2 linked regions of the Sus scrofa genome follow. Each later gene encodes a partner of the first gene's protein in a complex. Links are inferred from orthologs where the notes say so. Each region holds a gene or a part of one and is shown in the gene's direction. Other genes may lie near its edges.

The links.
Region 2: LAMTOR5 (region 1) and LAMTOR2 share a complex: the UniProt entries of both Homo sapiens proteins name them as parts of the ragulator complex. The link is inferred for Sus scrofa from reciprocal best matches to the Homo sapiens genes LAMTOR5 and LAMTOR2.

What each region holds. Positions count from the first base shown.
Region 1 is NC_010446.5:109,725,566-109,728,833, forward strand, and holds the end of LAMTOR5 (ragulator complex protein LAMTOR5), read left to right. Parts: intron 1-890; coding exon 891-1,008; intron 1,009-1,645; coding exon 1,646-1,706; 3' UTR 1,707-2,713; downstream 2,714-3,268. UniProt on the Homo sapiens protein: As part of the Ragulator complex it is involved in amino acid sensing and activation of mTORC1, a signaling complex promoting cell growth in response to growth factors, energy levels, and amino acids.
Region 2 is NC_010446.5:93,972,758-93,976,510, reverse strand, and holds the start of LAMTOR2 (ragulator complex protein LAMTOR2), read left to right. Parts: upstream 1-949; 5' UTR 950-1,157; coding exon 1,158-1,225; intron 1,226-1,531; coding exon 1,532-1,694; intron 1,695-3,753. Other genes in the region: UBQLN4 (ubiquilin-4), read right to left, coding at 1-31. UniProt on the Homo sapiens protein: As part of the Ragulator complex it is involved in amino acid sensing and activation of mTORC1, a signaling complex promoting cell growth in response to growth factors, energy levels, and amino acids.

The sequences.
Region 1 (3,268 bases):
AATGTTTTATAAACAACAGTAACTTCATCAACTCTGCATAGTAGCATGTACATTACCTGACCTGGTTTCAAGTACATGGGCTTGTGTTGCCTCTATATACAGAAATATACGGTAAACTTAGTGATTACTTTTTGTACCTCACACCTAAGTTATTATCTACAGGCTAAAACAGACATTAGTAAAAAGCTAATTCTGTTCCTATTTGAAAACAACCAGCTTGTTCTAATGGACATAATTGCTTATAGAATAGTTATGTATGCTGTTAAGGAGATCCTACAGCTAAACTCTTGAGCCAAGATCTTTATATTCTTTGAAGTTGAACTCAGTAAAAGGAAATTAGATTTCCCATGAGGAATTAATTAGTTGGGATTTTTGGGGGAGGGCCTCACCCACAGCATGCAAAGTTCCCAGGCCAGGGATCAAACCCATGCCACAGCTATGCCAGCACCATAGCAGTGACAATGCTAGATCCTTAACCCACTGAGCTATGAGGGAACTCCAGGAATTAATTAGTTTCAACGTCTCTTGTCCTTACTGACTGCTTTTTGTCAGTCTCACCTCTGAATTTCGTCTTGGTTTCAGTTTGCTTCCAGACTGACTTGAATTATAGCTTCCTTACATGCTTGAGAAGGTGTTTGAAGATGGTGATGGAAATGACTTGGAGAACTGAGTGTTACGGCTTTATTGACTTAAAAGCTGTTGTCTGGCTTCCTCACTGAGATAACCAGCTGAGTCTCAGGGCAGAATCATTTCATGTCCGTACAGTACTAACAGTAGCTAAGAGCCCAGGAGCTGACCCTTCTTTTTGTGAATAACTGAGTTTAGTTCTACTATAGCTCTGTACTCATTTTTGGACAGTCAGGCAACATGATACCATATCTGTCTTCTAGGCCGAGGGACCCTGTCTGATGAGCATGCTGGGGTGATATCTGTCCTAGCCCAGCAAGCAGCTAAGCTAACCTCAGACCCCACCGATATTCCTGTCGTGTGTCTAGAATCAGATAACGGGTGAGTAGATGTCAGCAGATCCCTTCCTTTCCTTTTGATTCAGAAAAAGCCCTGGGGAACTTGACTGGGGCTTGCCCTGTGTTCATTTAAAGTACTTGGAGGATGGTTCCGCCCTTTGGACCATAGGAGCTGTTGCATTGATCTCTGAAGCTCTTGTGCTTTCAGACCACAGTGGTACATGTAAATGAAGAGTAAGAGCTGTCACGAACTATCAGTAAAAGAAAGCAGAGGAAGACTAAACCAAGAACAGAAACGGTGTGTGTAGTAATAGAAATATAAAGATGTTTTGAGTGAGGGTCCTCTGAACAATAGTAAATGAAAAAAGCAGAATACAAAACTATGCTCATTATGATCACAGTTTTGTAAAATGAGAAGATATGTATGCTATACACCAGATTAAAAAAGGAAGATACTAATAATGGTTGTCTTTGATACGATTATAAAATTAATTTCATTTTCGTATTTTATACTTTTCTGTATTTCCCAAATGCTCTGTTGTGTTTATATATTGCTTTTATACATAGAAAAATGATAAGTACTATTTTTTTAGTTGTATCCTAAACCAAACAGCATCTTTAATCTTACACTGACTCCCACCTGTAGCCTTTTACTGAATATCTTCCACTTTGCCTTTCAGGAACATCATGATCCAGAAGCACGATGGCATCACAGTGGCCGTGCATAAAATGGCCTCTTGACACCCTGTGTCCATTCTCCTGCAGCCTGTCACAGGGCCTCATTCATACTTACCTTACAGAACTATTCAAGTTCCAGTAGTTAGGCTGTTCGTATAATGTGCATTGGGTGCTTTTCTATTAATTTTAGAGTAAGCTGCTTTTTGCCATTCCATGGATTGACTTATCAAAATACTGGTTAGGAAAGTATCATGTTTTGAAGCAGCAGGTTTAGGTCACTTTATATATAGAATCTTGTTATGTTTAATAAACCTGGTTAGAGGAAAGCTTGGATCTTTTCTGGATTCTTTAAATTCTTATCAAATGTTTATTTTTCAATTACCAAATTGTAATCTTTAAAAGGTAACTGCTCCAAACTCTTCCCTTGTGGAAGCTCCTGAAATACAGAGGATCTCACAGATGCATCCGTGGATATGTAAAACAAGTCAAACATACTCCTACCCCACAATAAAAAAAATAATAGCATGGGGTTCCTCTTGTGGCTCAGTGGGTTACAAACCCGACTAGTATCCTTGAGGACGCAGGTTCGATCCCTGGCATCGCTCAGTGGGTTAAGGATCCAGCATTGCTGGAAGCTGTGGCGTAGGTTGCAGATGCATCTTGGATCTAGTGTGGCTGTGGCTGTGGTGTTGGCTGGCAGCTATAGTTCTGATTCCACCCCTAGCCTAGAACTTCCATATGCCGCAGGTGCGGCCCTAGAAAGCAAAAAAAAAAAAAAAACAAAAAAAAGCAAAAACCAAAAAACACTAGAGCAGATACATTAGGTACTTACCGTATGCCAGGAATATATTTAATTCTCATTAACAACCCTATATGGGTTATCAGCAGAGAGATGGAAGCAACTCACATCTACGGATGGGTGGATATATAAACGAAATATGGTATATACATACCATGGTATAATAGCCTTAAAAAAGGAACGGAATTCTGACGCATGCTACAACACAGAGGACTCTGGAGGACATTATGATGAGTGAAATAAGCCAGTCACAAAAAAAAAAAAAAAAAAACAAATTCTCTATGATTCCACCTACCTGAGGTACCTAGAGCAGTCAAATTCATATAGAAAGTAGAATGGTGGTTGCCAGGGATAAGAAATGGGGAATTACTGTATAATTCATAGAGTTTCAGTTTACAAGATGAAAAGAGTCCTAGAGGTGGATGGTGGTGATTGTTGTAATAACAAATGAATGTATCTAATACCACTGAACTCTACACTTGGGAATGGTTAAGACAAGGAGTTCTCTGGTGGCCTAGCAGTTAAAGATGTAGTGTTGTCACTGCAGTGGCTTGGGTCACTGCTGTGGCATGGTTTCCATCCCTGGCCTGGGCGGTTCCATACACCATGGGCACAGCTAAAAAAATCCAGAATGGTTAAGATGGTAAAATTTATGTTGAATGTATCTTACCACAATAAATAATTTTAAAAACGTGAATAACTTCAACAAGTGGTGCTGGGAAAACTGAACAGCTGCATGTAAATCAGTGAAACTAGAACACACCCTAACATCATGAACTAAAATAAACTCAAAATGGCTTAAAGACTTAAACATAAGGCAAGACGT
Region 2 (3,753 bases), about 16 Mb from region 1:
GCCTCGTCTCGGCCCCGCTCGGCTCCGCCATGCCGCCGCCGCCGCCGCCACCCGGCCGCCCGCCAGCCCGCCCCGGCTCCTCCTCCTCCCCGCCCGCCCGGCGGTGCTCGGCTCCGGCGCCTCCAACACTCCCCTCTCCCCTCCCCTCCCCAAGGCTTCACCGCCCCCTCCGGACCAGCCGCAGCCACAGCGCCCCGGGCGGACCGGGGGGGCCACTGCAGCGGGGTCCGCCCAGGGCCGAGCCCGGGGTCTGCAGCCTGGGCAGGGCCTTGCTGGGCGGCGGCCCCCAAAGGGGCTGCTCCGGACAGGGGCGGGAAGCAAACTCTCCGGGAGAGACCACCGCCCGTGGTAGCCGGTCCGAGTCGCGCTGAGGTGCCAACCCCCCGCCCCCGGGCCCAAAGCTACCCGCCCCCTCCGCGACTAACTCTTTCTCCGGGACAAAGGACTTTCTGTGTCGCCGCTTTATCTCCGTTCCCTATGATAACTGGTCTTTCTTGGAAAGCCCAAATCCTTTCCAGGCCTGAGGCTTCTCCCGACTTGGAGGCTGAATTTTCCACTTCTGGATATCTACCTAAAACCTCTTCTGTAGGATTGACTTAATTCCCCTGAGGGTAGCGGCCTCCAAGAAGTCTATTCAGTACAGTTCCAGAGACCTGGATTTTTGCCTGCATGGCCTTTCTGAGCCTATTTCCTCAATAGCATCTATCTCCTCATCTCACAGAATTATGCATAATGTAGAAAATTGCTTTGAGAAGTAACCCAAGGTATGCCTGACAAGTATAGGAATTTTGTTTTCTTTTAATTACTGAATCGTGGATTGTCAAGCAGATATGACTCCTCTGCCCGAGAGGGTTAAATGTCCTTCCAGTACTGCCACTATCCTTTTACTCCCGCTCTTTTCCCCCATAACCGCGTGGTCTCACTGGAAAGGCGAACTGTAGTTCCCAGGGTGCCTCGCGAAGCTTCGAGGAACTACAATTCCCAGCGCCCCCCGCGGTGAGGCGGGGTTGAGTCAGAACCGCACAGTCAGGCCAGGAAACTACAACTCCCAGGAGTTCTGGAGCCGGGCAGCTGGACTACGGGAAGCGGCAGGCGGAGGCCAGTTATAGGAAACTCCGGGATCAGGTTGTGAAAGCCCAGGGTTAGGAGCCACAGGCATGCTGCGTCCCAAGGCTTTGACCCAGGTGCTAAGCCAAGCTAACACTGGAGGTGTCCAGAGCACCCTGTGAGTGCGGACCGAGAGGCCGAGCGGCGAGCACTGGAGTGGGGCTGCGCGCGGCTCTCCGAGGGAGGGGTGGGGAAGGCTCTCTGGGAAGGGAGGAGGTGGCAGAGGGGGCAGCCTTTGGGTGAACCGGCGAGAGGGCCACTCTTGAAAGAGAAACTGACGTGCTGGGTGTTTGGGGCATGTTCTAGGACACACTCAACCCAGACCCTTGCTTTCTAGGAGCGCCGGTGGGCGAGTTGGGATGGAAAGTCAGGTATTTTACTCCCCATCCTGAGCACGTTGATATCCGTTCTGATGCTTTTCCAGGCTGCTGAATAACGAGGGATCTCTGTTGGCCTACTCTGGTTACGGGGATACGGACGCCCGAGTCACTGCAGCCATCGCCAGTAACATCTGGGCGGCCTACGACCGGAACGGGAACCAAGCATTTAACGAAGACAATCTCAAATTCATCCTCATGGACTGCATGGTATGGAGAGGGGAGCCATTTCCTCTGTCCCTAAGGGGACCCCCAAGGGGCACCCTGGACCCCATCCTGGATGGTTGGGGCCCAGGGACAGGATTTCTGGAAGATTACTAAGAGTTGGTCTGCAGCAGCATTTATAATAGGCAGGACCCTATGTATCAAGTGGTGATGAGGAAGGAGTATTGGACCCGAGGTCTGGCTGGGTTCTAGTCTCAGCCAGCCACTTGCCATTTGTGGAACCTTGGGTAAGTCACAAGCTTTTTTACCACATCTCCAGTGTGAAAATAATCCCCACCACCACATCACGCACACAGGGTTGTTGTGATCAAATGAAAGGGTAGGTGTAAACTGTAGAGTGATATGCAGACACAAAGTGTTGTCATCTGAGATTCTCAGACTCAGAAGCATGGCAAAGTGTCCAGACCCTAGTCCAGTTCCTTCAGTTTACAGAAAAAGGAGATAAAGTCCAGAAAGAGGAAGCGCCATTAGACTGAATTTCTTGGGAACAGAACCTGTCTCATTCACCTTTATATCTGTTCAGTTAACAAATTTTTAGGTCCTTGCAGTATTCTCAGGACCTGGGAAAAAAATAGCAAACAGGACAAACAAAAACTGCAGCCCTAATGTCTCATATATGCCTTAAAATAAGTAAAATATGTATGTTTGTAAAATCAGTTCATAAATATGTTTTGTAACATACATACATAAGTTTAAAAAGTAGTATGTGGAGTTCCCGTCATGGCTCAGTGGATTAAGAACTAGTATCCAGGAGTTCCCGTTGTGGTGCAGCAGAAAAAAATCCTACTAAGAACCATGAGGTTGCAGGTTCAATCCCTGGTCTTGCTCAGTGGGTTAAGGATCCAGCGTTGCCATGAGCTGTGGTGTAGGTCGCAGACTCAACTTGGATCTGGTGCATTGCTGTGGCTGTGGCATAGGCTGGCAGCTGTAGCTCTGATTATATCCATAGGCTGGGAACCTCCCTATGCTTCGGGCGTGGCTCTAAGAAGCAAAACAAAACAAAAAACTGGTATCCATGGAGATGAAGGTGGATCCCTGGCTGGCTCAGTGGGTTAAGTATCCGGCATTGCTGCAAGCTGCAGCATAGGTCTCAGATTCGTCTCAGCTCCCATGTCTGCTGTGTCTATGGTGTAGGCCAGCAGCTGCCACTCTGATTCCATCCTTAGGCCAGGCACTTCTGTATGCTGCAGGTGCGGCCCTAGAAAGAAAGAAAAAGTAGTATGTTAGGTATTGAAAATGCTGTGGAGAAAAAGCAAGGAAGTGAGAGAGGGACAATATTACTGCAAAGGGGACAAGTCATCATAGATCTAAAGGAAGCTGGCAAGCCATATGGCTGTCTGGGCGAAGAACATTTCTGACAGAGAGAACAGTAAGTACAAAGGCCCTGAGGCAGAGGCACAATGATGCCTGGTCAAGAATCAACAAGGTTGAAGTGGCTGGAGTAGCGAGAGAATGGGAGAGGTTAGTAGATGAGGCCAGAGAGGCAGGAGATGCAGCATCTGGTTCTAAGCACACAGTGGATATTTAGTGAAAGTTTTCTGAGCCAAACTGAAAAGTCCCCAAGAGTGAACTTTCCAGAAAGAATTGCCAGTGGAACTCAGTCAGCAGCCTCTTCCTTACTCCCTTAACCAAGGATGCCAGTTCAACTGATGACTCCTAACTAGTGATTCCTAGGTTGCCTGCCCTAGAACTGGTGATCTAAGGGCAATAGCTTTCAAGTGTTTTGACCACAGTGCAGCCATAATAAATATATTTTAAGTCAGAGTATCCCACTAAAATCAAAGTTTCCTAAAACAGTACTTTCCTTACTGTATGCGATGTACTTCATTTCTCTTTTTTTTTTCTTTTCAAAGCTGATCAGCCTTCTTAATTGAACTAGGGTCAGTTAATCCCTTCCTGTCTATTAGCACCCTCATCAACTAGAGTGGGATAGTTGAGAAGAGGAGAAACTGAGCTTCTGGGAGATTGAGTTTCCCAGGGTAACTTGGTTAGTAGGTGGCTGTGCTGAAGCTGGAATGGGCTCAGGACTCCATGTCCAAGGCTA